2 linked regions of the Pelodiscus sinensis genome follow. The protein of the gene in region 1 interacts with the protein of each later gene in a pairwise test. Links are inferred from orthologs where the notes say so. Each region holds a gene or a part of one and is shown on either strand. Other genes may lie near its edges.

The links.
Region 2: the proteins of REEP6 (region 1) and SNX15 interact in binary tests that used the Homo sapiens proteins (3 or more experiments, as listed by UniProt). The two-hybrid records come from large-scale screens. The link is inferred for Pelodiscus sinensis from reciprocal best matches to the Homo sapiens genes REEP6 and SNX15.

What each region holds. Positions count from the first base shown.
Region 1 is NC_134729.1:17,444,721-17,452,765, reverse strand, and holds the start of REEP6 (receptor expression-enhancing protein 6), read left to right. Parts: upstream 1-4,986; 5' UTR 4,987-5,005; coding exon 5,006-5,120; intron 5,121-8,045. Other genes in the region: PCSK4 (proprotein convertase subtilisin/kexin type 4), read right to left, coding at 393-497, 3,743-4,099. UniProt on the Homo sapiens protein: Required for correct function and survival of retinal photoreceptors. Required for retinal development.
Region 2 is NC_134721.1:34,789,679-34,796,913, reverse strand, and holds the start of SNX15 (sorting nexin-15), read left to right. Parts: upstream 1-4,174; 5' UTR 4,175-4,255; coding exon 4,256-4,354; intron 4,355-4,446; exon of another isoform or gene 4,447-4,567; intron 4,568-4,922; coding exon 4,923-4,958; intron 4,959-5,441; coding exon 5,442-5,562; intron 5,563-6,374; coding exon 6,375-6,490; intron 6,491-7,024; coding exon 7,025-7,235. Other genes in the region: ARL2 (ADP-ribosylation factor-like protein 2), read left to right, coding at 203-365, 812-892, 1,437-1,571. UniProt on the Homo sapiens protein: May be involved in several stages of intracellular trafficking. Overexpression of SNX15 disrupts the normal trafficking of proteins from the plasma membrane to recycling endosomes or the TGN.

The sequences.
Region 1 (8,045 bases):
ATAAAAGGACGAGTGGTCCTCAGGCTACAGATCTGATTATCCGCTGGGACCAAAGAAGCCCCTCCACTAAACAGACAGTGGATAGTAACATGCTATTAGTTCTTTTGCTTTCATCTGAAGCAGATGTCAGGGATGGGTAGGTGGGGCCCTGAATTCAAGACAACATGCTGGTTTGATAGCACAGCAATGCCACTCAATGGGTGCCTGATCAGCAGTATTTACACATAACTGTGGGAGCCAACGATATCCTCAGTATTTAGACATAGCCTGTGCTATGCAGGCGGCCAAACGAGGTGCATACAAATAGCTCCTGCTAGCCCTAACATCCCACAAGCACATTTTCGAGCAAGCTGCAATTCTTTTGTGCTTCCCTCAGAAATCACACTTGTCACCTTGGGCTCTCTTTTCAGATGCACATGCCAGCCCCAGTGTCTGTTCAGGGATTTCTGCACCATGCCTCGGTGTTTGAAATGGTAATAGTGATCCCCTTCAATTATCTGCAGAAAGAAGAGTTACACATAAGGCTTGGACACAGGTGGCAACCAGAAGCCACCAGGAAAATTAACCACGTATGCCATTCAGCATAACAAAACGCAGGATCTGGCATTATCTGCATACACAGGCTCAATTTTTCCTCCCTGTAAGCACTCTGTTCTGTTTTCTACTATATATTTTAGAGAGTCTGTTTGATCAAGAACGCCTCTGAAATGGTAGGATCCAGGACCACCAAATTGGGTATCCAGCTTCCTCTTATCATAACTTAAAGCAACGTAAGGGTTTGACTGTGCCAGGAAAACGGGCTGTACCTGGAATGGGATTGCTTCTAATAAAACCAAACAGAAAAGAGACAATCACCAGATCAAAATTGATATAACCAAGCAAATGTTGAAAGAGGCTGAACCAAGATGAACGAGAAAAATAGGAGGAACTTGGAATTAGATTGCTTCTCCCTCAACCTGACAGACAAAAGATAAAATGGAGAAATCTGGCAGAGTGCTCTGTTTTGGCACAGCTAAATCAGAGCTTAAGGTTTGAAAACTAGAAGAAAACATTACTGGAAACCAAATGGACCTTAGTCCATTTTTGTCAAAATATAGTGAAGGATAAAGAATTTACAGGGTGAAGAAAAAAATATACACTTGATGCAATTCTCATTTAAAAAAATATACTAAAAATTAAATGGAAAAATGTTAATCCCTTTTTTAAGAAATCTGAATTAACTCCATAAAACACTGTATTTTTAAAAGTACAATCATTTAAATAAAACATGTGCATTTTCTTTGTATTTTAACAAAAAAAAACCACCCTTAATTGAGTTAAGGACCATGGCTTTATTTTTTTATCTGGCCCATTGCATTAGCAATTTCATTTCTACCTTTGCCTGTATGATTTTAGAATTTGTTTCAGAGTAATTGAGAGCTAATGGAGATCAAGCTGCCAACCGCTAGCTCACTGGGGTGGGTCCATCCATTTTCCATTTTACTCAATCACAGGGCACTACGTGAAACCACGGTGAGTGTAGAATGGAATTTTGTTCTCCCCAAAGGACAGGCTCCCGGCCCTGAAAACACCATCCGTAGGGAGCTGGTTTCACAACTAATTAGCAAAAGCTGTCTTTTAAAGCGAACAAAGCAAGACAAGGATCTGCACAGCCTTTTAAATATTTGATGAGGCCATTTGGCTGCTGCAGCAGAAAGCTAGGAAAAGGTACAGAGGTAGAGCTGATAAAGGGGCAATCCTTGTAACGTCAGATTACAAGCCCAGATTCTCTGTTTAAGAGATTAAAAGGTTTTGTGGCAAGTTTCAGCTCAAAACTAGATTATCCATGCAACTAAGTTACCCTGAAGACAGGCCTACACAATAGTAACAGCAAATGGTTGTTACTTAGCAAAGCATTACATGGATAATGGTTAGGTGGGTGACTGAAATATTACCTGGTCACAGTCATACTGTGGAGAAAAAAAACAAAAACAAAACAAGGAAGGGGGCAAACCGATGTTCAACTATCCAGACTCAAGGCGAATGGAAAGAAGGGAGTGATCGCAGGGTCTTCTGAAATAGCGCAATGTAGAACACCTAGTACTGTATAAAGGACAGTTAGAAATCCTAGAGTGAATTCAGAGAGTGACTTGAGAGGAATCAAAAAGAAGGGGCAAAAGAGGAGAATGGGATTTGGAAAGAAGTCAGAATAAGGTGACATTGAATTGGTGGGACATCTAGCACCAGCATGCCTCCTGCCTAGGGTTTTATGAAGAGGGCAAGCCATTGTGTGATCAAAAAAAGCTCCGTGGAGGATGGCTAAAGTGTCGGCAAATCAAGGTGGAGCTTGTTTTGGTACAACCGAAGGTTGAACGACAAGGTGGGGAGGGGAGGCCATTTGTAACCAAACTGCTGGTTTTCAAAGCCTAAAATGGGTTATACAGACAGAGAAGGTGAATTGGATCTCTTGGTTGACAGCCCGTGGCCAGAGGATGGTGGCTGTGGGACATTTAGAACTAACAAGAGATAAAGCTTTCTTTCAGGTACCTGTCCACTGGCAGCTGGCTTCGTGTTAGCTCATGTAACTGCATGCTTTTCAGGACAGTAGCTGTCATTTACTAGATGTTTGTACAGCACCTAGCACAACAGGGCCCCAAATCTCAATCTAGGGACTAAAACACTTAAATCTAAATAAAAAGGTGCAGAGAATGCATCCAGAGAGACCAGGGACCAGTGAAGACGGCCATGGACTGCAGTGTTTGAAAAAGCAAGAATTCCGTTATTATTACATGATTAAAAGTTTCAGGGACATGTTTTCATTAGTCTTGGATTTTTTTGGTAAAAGCACCTCTTTTTTTAAACCAAAACTTAATTATGGAGCCAATCAAACTTGTTTTCCCTCTTCAATTGCCACTCACTGCAAATCCCCCGGTGGCAGAGAACACGCTCAACGTCCGTGGTATTTTAAACAACCTTGCTGTCTAGAGCTTCTCTTTAAAGATGCATTTGCCTCGGTTGTCAAAGCTGTATGCTTTTAGCTGGAGCTACCGCATGAGGGGGAATTGGTAATGATGCTAGTATGCCCTCATCTAAAATAAAAATAGATCCGGATAAAAGCGCCTCAGATACAGACGTGAGAGAGAAAACGGAGAGGGAGGGAAGGAAAATGGATACAGAAGAGACAAGCTAGGCAGGAGGAAAAGATTGCCACATCAAATGGCACCAATGCAGGGGTGGCTGGAAGCCTCCTACTTAGTCCTGTGGCCTGCACTGTAATTTCACGGCTGGTATAGTCAACTGGAATGGCCAGCCAGAGAGCTCAGACGTCTGCAGCAGGGCAGCCTTTCATCAGGCAGCTCCCTGGCTCTCTCCAGCAGATTTTCCATCAGGGGAACAAACGTCGGGGTGTTTTTCGGGGGACGGGGGTGCATCCCTCATCGGGGTGTTTTTCGGGGGACGGGGGTGCATCCCTCTGCAAGCCCCCGCTCTTATAAACACCCTTCTTTCTCTTCCACCCCCCCCCCATTTCTTGGGGAGGGCCTGTGGAAGAGGAATTCAGGGGGAAGGCGGGGGGGGGGAGATTTGGGGGGCAGCCTCTCTAGGAAAGGGGGTGCTGGGGGGGGACACAGGAGCCTGGAATAGTGGGGAGAAAAGGGCTGCTCCCTCTCCAGCTGCTGGGGCTGGGGGGGGGGACTTGCAGACTGCCCCCCCACACTCCTCCCAACTACCCCCCGCCCCGGGCAAGTAGCCCCCCCGCCCTCACCTGCCCCAGGCAGAGCAGCCCGTGCTTGCGGGCCAGGCGCTCGGCCTCCCGGGCCCCCGCGGGCACCTGCACCGCCCAGCTGCTCAGGTAGACGGTGAGCCCGCCCCGGCAGCAGGAGGCACCGGCCAGCAGCAGCGAGAGCCGGAGCCAGGCCGCCGCCCCCGCCATGGCTCCGACCGGGGGGGGGGAGCAAACGTGGGGCTGCCCCCTAAAAGGGGCCCTTAAATACCCCCCCGCCCGGGATCTGCGGCCTAGCGCTCCGCCTGAAGCCGGGGCCTCGATTTTGCCTCTTTCCCGGGCACGGGCAGGGCTGCTGGGGCTGCCCCGCGCCACGTGTTCACACCCCGGGGTCGCCATAGCAACCGCAAGCCGCAGGAGCCGGGGAACGACCCCGTCGGCTCACCAACAAACTACAACTCCCAGGGGGCTTTGCGAGTAGGGAGGGGTGTTCCTTGGCTAGACGGCCTTCTGGGAGTTGTAGTTTTTTTTTTAAAGCTCCAGGCGCGTGTGAGTGTTTCCTCCTGCCCTGGGCTGGTGCGTGCCTGGCTGGAGCTTTTCCTTTTGCAGCAGCCATTGTGTAAATGTGTATTATTTAATTGAATCCAGGTAGCACCTGGGGCTCTCCAGTTATTGCTCAGGCCCCGCTGTGCAAGGTGCTGTATAAATGCACAACTAAAAGCCAGTCCCTGCCCCTAGGAGCTTACAGTGTAAATCAGTGTGTGCACCCCAGCCCCTTTGTTCGGCTCTTCCCTCTGCTTGTTTGCCTTCGTTCCCGCCAGCTCGGGGCCCTCTCCTCTGCCCCCTCTCCTCCCCCCTCTTGCCCCTGCCCCTCCCTTTGCCTCTGATTCCCCCTTCCCCTTCTTTTCTTCTGCCCCCAAACCATCTCCCCCCTCTTGCCCCTGCCCCTCCCTTTGCTTTGCTCCGCTCTTCCCTTCCCCCCTCCTGCCCCATCTCCTCCCCCTCCTGCCCCTGCCCCCTCCCTTTGCTTTGCTCAACTCCGCTCTTCCCCCCCCTCCTGCCCCTCCCCCTCCCTCTCCCTCTCCCTCTCCCTTTGCCTCTGATCCCCCCCCCCGCCTGCCCCTTGCCCCCGCTGCCCCTCCCCTGCTCTGACCACGCCTGCCCTCACCTGTCCCCTGTGACGTGCCCGCCCGGCTCCCACCTGGCCGCGCCCCGCTCCCGCATTGGCCCGGCGCGGGGGGCGGACCGGCCGCTAAGCCGAGAGCGAGCAGCAGCAGCCGGCGGCCGGAGCCGGAGCGTGCAGCCATGGGCTCCCTGCGGCAGCGCTTCCAGACCTTCCTGCACCAGCCCGGCCTGCTCGCCGACCTGCTGGGCTGGCTGGAAACCCAGACCGGCGTCCAGCGCTACTACCTAGCCACAGGTGGGAGCCCTGGGGCGGCCCCAAGGACACCCCCTTCCTGCAGAGCCGGGCTGCTTCCTTCCCCGGGGAGGGCACTTTATCCGGCAGCCCCCCCCCTTTTCCCTGAGTCCCCTAGTCCCGGGGGGCTCCCCTCTTTCCGAGGGGACTCAGCACAGCTACCCCCCTTGCTCACAACACCCCCTTCCCTTTCTCCAAGGGCCCCCCTTCCCCTGGGATTCCCTTCCTAATGCACCCCTCCTTGACCCCCCCATTTCAACCCCCTTCTGCTGGGATTCCCTTCCTAATGCACCCCTCCTTGACCCCCCCCATTTCAACCCCCTTCCCTCTGGGATTCCCTTCCTAATGTTCCCCTCCTTGACCCCTCCCCCCTGCCTCATTTCAACCCCCTTCCCTCTGGGATTCCCTTCCTAATGCACCCCTCCTTGACCCCCCCCCCATTTCAACCCCCTTCCCGCTGGGATTCCCTTCCTAATGCACCCCTCCTTGACCCCCCCCCATTTCAACCCCCTTCCCGCTGGGATTCCCTTCCTAATGCACCCCTCCCTTGCAGCCCCTTCCCCCAAACCCTGGGGAGCAGTACTTTGAGGTGACCTTTCCCAGCAGGTGCCTCCAGATCTGTCCCATAAAAGACCTCGGCTTGGCTGAGTTTGTTTCAGGGGAAGCCCTGGATGGTGGAACCCTCAAAAAGGAAAAGTCTCTTGCCTTGGGCTGAACGCCCCCTCCCCCCCACTTCTCCTGGTCTCTGCCCAGGTGTGGCCTGTTCTGCCGCACCTTACTGCTTCTGGGTGTGGGGATATGTGCCCTGGAGCACAGGGGGCAGATGCTTGGCTGGAGGATGGTGACCCCTTTTCAGACAAGTATTTAAGGGGATCATGGACGTTGTCAGTGTGTGTCCTGCTTAGAGTTCAATCCAAACTTTGTTAGGGAATGGGGGGAGGTTGTCTCTCACTTCTGCCTCCTGTGGGGTTTCTTGCTCCTTCCTCTGAAGCAACTAGTCCTGGATGGATGGTCCTTGGGTCTGATCCAGGCCAGCAGCGCTTACAGACCCTGTGTGTGCACCTGGTAACAGCACAACATTGCTAATGTAGCTGTTTGGGCTGAGCTGCCTCGGTGCTTCCACCTACACGTTTTGTGCTTTTCTGACGGATGCTAGCAACTCGGTAGAAAGTTCAGGATTTGCCCCAGGCCTCTCCGGGATCGACCAGTATCTCTGCCTGGTGGAATGGAAGTGCAGAGCGATCTAGTAGTGAATAATATGCCCACTGGCAGGAAACCTGTGGCAGAACCAGGACCAGAAACTGGCACCCTGACTCCCGTTCCCCTCTTCTGTCAGGCCGTTTTTAAACATTTACTGCAGCTGATCAGGGTGGATTGATTTAAATAGAGGCGATTTAAATAATTTGATTTTAATCACAGTTTAAATCACCCCCCCCCCCCAAAAAAAATAATCGCCAGTTACCGTCAAAGCTAAGCTAGACTGTGCTTAGAGGGCACTTAATTTTGGAAGAGGCCCCACTGAACAAACTTTCATTTCTTGTTTTCTCAAAAAAACAAGAACAATATAGAATGGGGTTCCCTTTAAAAAACGGAGTTATGCTGAAGTAAAATAAAGAATAGATTTATGACATCACCATTATGGACTGTGGCCATGAGGTTGCAAAAGAAGGGATATTATACAGTAGAATACAGTATTATATATACCATACAATAGTATATTATGTAATATAAAACAAAAAATGACACTCCGTGTCAATAGGCAACTCTAAATTTCTCTTACTGCAGCTTTCTGTGCTGTATACTTGGGTGATAGATTCTAAACCTAGTTAACTAATTCAACAAGCCATAAGGATTAGCTAAGCTAAACTTTTTTTTTTCTAGCAACACTCAACACAGCAAACAGCTTGGGAATTTACTAGTCAAATCGCTTTAAAAGGGGGAGAGAGATTCTTGAAGAACAATTGGATTGGTCCTGCTTTGGGCAGGGGGCTGGACTCGACCACCTGAGGTCTCTTCCAGCCCTAGGATTCTATGAACGATGCATTGCAAAGTGAATTATTTAAGTTACTAACCCGTTGATCCACTCAGTCAGATCCACATCGCTTTCTTCCCAGCAAGCAGTTTTCTTTGTTTCATTCTTGCAAGTAGGCCCTGCATTATCATCCTGCATGGACTGCTTATCCGTCACGTTTTCCTTTTTTACCCAGGGAATGAATTTCTTCAAACTATTCCCAGAGAGAATCTCTCTTGTGCCCAGAAACCAGGACGGTTTTTCTGTGGCACCAGTGTGGAGGGTATAGAAAGCTGTGCGTGAGTGTGTGTGTGCTCTGAATAACATCTTCTCTCTTTCTTTTCAGTTCACTGTTCTCTTCTAGGCTGCCTCCGTCCTTTTCTATATATTGCGATTCTGTCTTTATAAGCGACTCTCTTAACTAACTCCTCTGCTGTGCGTGGCCACAAAAAACAAGCCCGTTCAGGATGCGTCTGACTTTGCACATGTCGCTTTGTCGTCTGCTGAGAAACCGAAATGGAAAGCCCAGAACTTTCAAGAAGCAGGAGCTGGTGGTTAGGCTGGACAGGCTAGGTCCATTCATTCATTTTTAAGAGACTTTTTAAGCATCCGGGTAGCATTTCTGTGATGGGATTTAATTGTAACTGTTTTTAAATGGGAAATGGAGTATTTTACTGATCTCTTTTTTTATCTGAATTTTTTTTTTAAATCGTTGATTTTTATCAACCCTGATGCTCATGCTAGGAATCCAAATTCCCAGCTCGCAGGCACTCCAAATGTCAGGTCACAAGAACTAATGTGACATGGCTGGGGGTGCTCTAATCACTAGACAGCACTCTCCTCTCAGTCACAGTCCTTTCTGGCCTTGAAATCAGAGACTCATCCTGGAGGAACAAAAGTCAGAACTATATAGCATT
Region 2 (7,235 bases), on another chromosome or scaffold:
AAATCACCAGCTCAGCCCCTTGCTCACTTTCTGTGGTTCTTAAGGAATTTGGAGCCAGGAAGGTTTGGTCTTCTCACAGCCAGCCAGATACAGAAGAAACATCCCCTCCTTCGTCCAGGATGCCTGTTCCATATTACATACTGGGATCTTGCCTGATTGTCCCTTTACCTCCATACTCTGTCTTTTTTCTTCTGTTCCCCAGCTTCAAACTGAACATCTGGGATGTGGGAGGCCAGACATCCCTGCGCTCCTACTGGCGCAACTACTTTGAGAGCACAGATGGTCTCATCTGGGTGGTGGACAGTGCTGACCAGCAGCGCCTGCAGGTCTGCAAGCAGGAGTTGCAGAGCCTCCTGGTGGAAGAGGTGGGAACTGCACCTGTGGAGGAAAGGGGGAGGAGGGTGTGCCAAGTGTCTTGGAGAATGGGCAGATGTATCCTGTGAGGGAAAGGAGGTGGAATATATGCAATAGGTTATATGAAGTCCCTTGGAGAGGGGGTATATTTTTTGGGCACTATCCTGTGGGTGGGTGGGCCAGCTTCTGGCTGAACCAGGCTTTGGTTTGGGCTGCCAGAGGGGCCTGGTTTGGTGCAGGTCTGCTGGAAGCAGGGCCTGCCTCTGCTGCAGAGAGGATCCTTGTCCCCCTGTTTCCAGGTCTTTCAAGACTCAAAAACAATCCCTGTCTGGGACAGAGCAGGAGAACTGTGGTCCAACTGCTAACTGACTGGGAGGGTGGTTGAAGGGTTAACAGGAGAATGGTGGGGCCAAGACAACTGGGCCATGCAGCTTAGCCTGTGCTTCTCTCCCTACAGCGCCTGGCTGGAGCCACCTTGCTCATCTTCGCCAACAAGCAGGACCTGCCAGGAGCACTGTCTTCCAATGCCATTCGTGAGGTAAGAGCCACTGGCCTGAAGCAAACTAGGGATCTTGGTCAAGGGACATGGACATAGGTACAGGGTTTTGGGCCTAGTGTCCCCACTGCTGTCCCCATGTCAGGGCACCAGTCCTGTGCCCAGGGGCCCCAGCCTGGGTCAGTGAGGGGCATGGACGGATAAGAGTGAGGGCACTGCTCAGCACCCCTGCTCCCTCTCCCCTCCCCCCCAAAAAAATGTGTTCCAGCACCACTGGGAGTGGGGTTTGTTGGTTGTAGGGTAGGGTGGGGAGGGACTGGAGTCAGCTCTTCTCTTCCCAGCTCTGGAAGGGGAATGGAGTAGAAGAGTTACGCCAGATGAGTGGCAGCCTCAGCTCCTGGTTTGTCTCCAGTTGATCATTGACTCACTGTATGATCTTTCTTCTCTCTGTGCCACAGTTGTACCAGGTTGCAAGTAAGGGAGGGAGTAGGGGTGGGGTGTGTGCTAGTGTTGGGAGATGTGGACTGAGGACAGGTTTGGTCTCAGCTCAGTCAGGTAACTCAGTATCATCTTGTCTTCCCTTCAGGCCTTGGAACTAGACAGCATCAAAAGCCACCATTGGTGCATCCAGGCCTGCAGTGCCTTCACTGGGGAAAACCTGCTGACGGGGATCGACTGGCTCTTGGATGATATTTCCAGCCGGATCTTCACGGCAGACTGATCATGCCTCAGACATGGCCCCCCTCCTCCTTGAGGGCTGGATCCAAGCTTTGAACAGCTCCCATCATGCTTTCCTCCAGCAGTCAGTCACCGGGACAGCAACTCCCCTTGGACTAAGTCTGGATCCCAAATGTCCCCTGGATTGGCACAGAGCTTAGTACCCCTGACCCAAAGGCCTGGGTCTTCCACATGTGTTTCAGGGTTTGAGCTCTAATGCTGGCAATTGCCCTAAATGATGGGGCAAGCTGGGGAACCTCAGGAGCCAGATCGTTTACAGTGTGGGGAGTGGTGGCAATTCCCCATCATTGAAGCACAAGGCCTGTTGAACTGTGTACACGGATAGGACTGGCAGAAAGGAATTCCTCTTCCCCCCCTCCCCCTCCCAACTCTCCCCAAATAACCCTGCCTGTACGAAATATTCACATTTTTCATTTCTCGCGCTAATAAAATCAGTGGCCTGTAGTCTGCTGTGTCTGGGTTCATTGACTCTGTGTGGGTTGCCTTGCACTTTTGGCTTATGTCACCAGGTTCCTCGGAGAGATGAACTTCTTTTAGGGATTGCTCCACATGTCCAGCAACTGCATCTGTTTCTCACAGACGAGTTGCAGCCTCAGCCTAGTTGCTGATGGGGGCAGAAGTACTCGAGGTTGGGGAAAGGGTCTGCAAGGCTCTCCCTTATCCTCCCACTCTATCCTGAATTCTCTGTTGTTTTAAGCAATGAAAGATTCACTTCCTGTTCTTAACTGTTACTAGGAGCTATTAAACAGCCACCTCTGTCCCAGTCTCTGGTGTCTGCATCTCAGAGCCAACCAAAGGAGCACTGAATAAACAGCCCCTGCTCCCTACCACAGGCAGCTACATCTCAGCACTATATGAGGGATCCCTGTAGTAGCAGCACTTGTACCCCACCCCAGAGGCAGCACATTTTAATGATTGAGATAGTTTAATAATTCACCTCTTTCCAGTGCATATAATCTCCTTTTGCTTTGCAAACTCTGTACCCGCCTCCCCCCCCCCCCCCCCCCGCCTCCTTCTGGCATAGCACCTTTGGGGTGGAGCAGGGATAGCAGAGCCATGAGAGGTGCTATTTTGACCAAGATCCCCGAGGCAGTGGGAACTTTTGGGATGCCGCAAATATGGCCTCTGGTCAGTTTTGTCCATACAAAGATGGCAGAACCTCAGCTTTAAGATATCCCTCAGTGCCAACCTGCGTGGGCTGGAGCACCTGCCTGGGGTCAGAACAGGAAATGCAGATTGAGGCTGTGGGAAGCATCTGGATTTCAAACCTTATTGCCTGCTTGTGAAGTGCATCAGCAGTAAAAGGGTGGCACAGTCTCCCCATTCTCTATTTTTCTCCGTTGTCATATAGCCTCTTGTGACCCCTTGCAGACATCTGATTTGTCTTGTTACCCCAAGTTTAAACTCACTTAAACTACTTACTTACAAAATCTTACTAGATATTTTAGTAATGTCTATCCGTTTGTTCAAGACCTCCTCCTGAACAGTAAGCGCTAGAACCACCAGATTTGGTATGCAGCTTCCTCTTATCATAACTTAAAGCAAGGTCAGGGTTGGGTTGAGCCAGGATAATGGGGTGTGCATGGATTTGATTTTCTCATAAAATGGAAAGGGTGGGGTTTGGCAGGAGGGAGTTATAATGCAAAATGACTACGGGGGACGGGGGGCAGAGGTGGAGACTAGGAGAGCTATAACTGCATTGGGCCAGCAGATAGCAAGGATGGAGAAAGGGTCACCTTTTATATATTTTAGTGTTTGTCTGTTCCCCAGCTGGGAGATATGCACACCACCACACCATGGCTGTGCCCACTACAGCTGCAGCAGCCATGGACAGGTGCATCTCACCTGGCCCCAAACCGCTACGGTAAGAGTGGTCTGGGGTTGTCTACTCTCCTCAGGGCAGCCTGCATACTGAATTCCTCATCCCCAGCCCCACCCCAGAACAATGATTTAAAAGAAGAAAAACAAAACTTATTTGAGTTAAGGACCCAAGCAACGCTGAGTAAATCTTTTATCAGGCATAAAATACAGAAATGTCCCAGCATTTGCATTTATTACTGAAAAACTTCTTGCTTTTCATTTTTACCATATAATCATAAAATAAATCCACTGGACTATAAATACTGTACTTGCATTTCAGTGTGAAGCATACAGAGCAGCATAAACAAGCTTTATGACATTTTAGCTTGTACTGACTTAGCTAGTGTTTTTCCTGCTGCCTCTTGTAAAAGTTGTCAGATATTCAGATGAGTTGATGTATTCGCTGTAAGTCCTGTGTGTATCCCAGGGGTATGCATAACACTGGTTGACTTGACTGATTGAGAGCCACAGTTGTAACCTGCTCCCTTTACCTCACCTCCGCCCAATTACCCTTTGGCCCTCCAGTCTTCCTCCCTGTACACCTGGGCTTGACTCCTTGCTTACCCTGCCTCTAAGAAGGGCTCACTCTCCAGAGGAGCCCTTCACTCTTCAGCTCGCCTGCAGTTTTGTACTTTACACACGCTCCCTGGGCTGGGACAGGGCAAGGAGGCCCGGCCACGCATGCGTACTGGCTGTTCGGCAAACCCACGCTCCCTGGCGGCGGTCACTGCTGCTTGGGGCTGTTAGGGGCTGGAGAGGGGCGGGCTCAAGATTTAAAGGGGCCGCAGCCTCAGTGTGCGGAGGGAGATGGCCTGCAGGGTGAAGGATGAGTACCAGCGTTATTACACGGTCACGGAGCCGAGGAGCCACCCCAAGGGCCACACTGAGTACAAAGTGACAGCCAAGGTGAGGGGCAGCGCCTGGGACCTTCCCCAGGGAGCTGTGCGCGGCCCCTTTAAGGTGAAGGGCCCCTCCTGGGCAGCTGGGGCTGCCGATGCCCCATGGAAGGAGGGCGCCTCGCTCGCCCACCTTAAGGAGGGCGCACGGCGCGTGCAGGCGGGGTGGGACTTGTTCCCGATACTTTCCAGGGTGAGGGACACTGCGTAGCCGCTTTAAGAGGTGGGAAGTTGCGAGTGGTCCCCTCCGAGGCTCCGTTTTGGGGCGTCGTAGGTGTGGCCCTTTTAAGACGGAAGCGTCCTGCAGGGGGAGCCCTGGGTCCCGGGAAACCCACGTGGGACGGTGCCGAGGCACGTGGATGTCCCAGGTCAAAGGCACGTCCCGTTAAATGCCCCCCACGCCCGTGGCTGGCCCCGGTGGGTGTCCTGCCTCCCCATCCCACGCGCTGTGGACATCACATTTCCCGCCTCCTAGCCTGATAGCCCCATGCCCTGCTGGTCCCTTCCTTTGCCCTGAACCTCCCCACTGCCACCTCCCGGCTCAGAAGTTGCTGACTCCTCCTCTCTTCCCTCCTTAGTTTGTTTCAAAGACGAAACCAGAAGATGTCAAGGAGGTGACTGTTTTAAACCCGTCTGATGGCTCGTGCAGGGGAGGGGTGCGAAGAAGGGGTGGGATGAAATCCATAGCCATCCCTCAGTGTAGAGTGTGGGGGGGGGGGGTCCCCACTACCGGCTAGCCCACACTCACAGCTGCCCAGCAGTGATGGGAAAAGTCCCATAACTTGAGGTCTGATAGAGCTGAGTTTTGGGGACAGTTTTGGGGCTTTGAGTCCTATGGCAAAGGTTGTGGGGGCAGGGATCGTGTGACTGAAATCTGGGGGTGAAATTCCAGGGGCTTTGGAAGGCAGAAATCCAGGAGTTTGAAGTAGAAGTTCTATCTGGAAGGAGCTGGGTCCATAGATTTGGATTTGGAGGTTTGAGCTGAAGGGTTGCAGTTTGGGGGAAAAGCGGAGGGTCCCTGGGACTGTAGAAGCTGTGGGCTCAGCGCATGTCTGTGGCTAGTTAACTGGGGCACCTGGGGGGCTCTTGTCCTTCAGATCACAATCTGGAAACGTTACAGTGACTTCAAGAAGCTGCATGGAGACTTGTCCTACATCCACCGCAATCTCTTCCGGCGCATGGAGGAGTTCCCTGCCTTCCCCAAAGCCCAGGTCTTCGGTAAGTGGCTTCCCGAGAGGTGGGGGCTCAACAGCCAGACTCTTCTGGTTACTCCCAGAGCAGGAGCAGTGGCAGAGAGCGCTTCCCTCATTCCTCCCCCATGGTCAGCTCCCTCGTCCCCACAGTACAGCCCCCCTACCGCATAGCCTTTTCTGCTTCACAGTGCTCCACAGCATCCCATAATGTCTACCCACACATCCAGCGCCTTCTGCACAGTCCCCTTCTTCCCTTTCCCCAACAGCTCCCTTTCATGCCCCCAGCACCCTGCAACTTCCCATAGGTCCCCACACAGACTCAGCACTCTCTTACTGCCCCTACCACATACCCAGATGCCATCCCCTCCCCCTGACCCAGACACAGCAGTCTGAGTCCCCAACCCACCCCCAGAGACTGCTGGTGTGGGGCAGTTAGACCCACCCTTCAAGACGCTTCACACCCAGGTCACCAAATGAGCTGCAGATGGGAATGAGTCTAATTTATTGGGATCTCGGACTGGATCAGAGCTGGGAAAGGTCCCATATCTCATTTCCTGCCACCTGGAACCAATCCCCTGCCCTGGGGACAGATTAGAGCTGATGTCCCCACAGGGGAAAGGCAGTCATTGCTGGACATGCTGCAGGGGGCTCACACCAGATTCACAGGACAAGGGATGCATAGTGGATCATACCACATGAAGTGAATTGTGGTGGGATGTCCAGGCTTAAGGGTGGCAGAACTGAAATGTACCATAGGGCTAGAGGGGGAGTGGCTGGTCTGCCTGGAGAGGCTAGATGGGTGCTGCATCACAGTGCAACAGGAGCTCTGTCCCGCAGGCCGCTTTGAGCCCGAGGTGATCGAGGAGCGCAGGAAAGCAGCTGAGGCCATGCTGAGATTCACGGTGCACATCCCTGCACTGAACAACAGCCCCCAACTCAAGGAGTTCTTCAGGGTATGTGAGTAGGGCTGGGCTGGGTGGGCTGAGAGGGCCCTAGGTGCTCTGGGGCCACTGCTGATGCATCAGGCTGCTCACACACATGGTAGCATCATCAGGCCCACTCAGTTGCTCTACATACCCCTTGAAAAGCTTGGGCTGAGGAGATCCTCACCTCCCCAGCATACAGCAGAGACTCCTCTGAAAGGTGACAGTCAGGACTAAATGGGTTAGAATAGTGGGAGCTGGGAGTCCTGGGTTCTTCCCTCAGCTCTGGGAGGGATGCAGGACCTGGTGGGTTACAGTAAGTGAGGGGGGCTGGCTGGTATCTGGACATCTGGGTTCCCTTCCCGGTTCTGCCACTGACCTGCTGTGTGGTCCTGGGCAGGTCACTTCCCCCATGTGTGGCCTTCCTCCCTGCCGTGTGTGTGGGAGCATTCCTGACTGCTGCCAGTGGAGCAGCACAAGACCAATACCCCATCCCTGACCTCATGACCAGTCTAGCATCCCAAACCCCCGCTCCTCCTTCACTATGCTGCTTCCTTCCTCTAGGATGGGGAGATAAAGAGACCACTGGAGGCCTGTGACCTATGCATCCTGCCGCCCCCTCTGATCCCAGTGCCACAGGAGGGCACGGATATTGGGGATGATGCTCAGGGATCTGTAGCAGAGCTGGGACAGCATAGCCTGGAGCCCGATGGGGAGCCGGAGCCGCTTGATGGGGAACTGGAGCCGCACAGAGGGGAGCAAGTGGAACCACAGA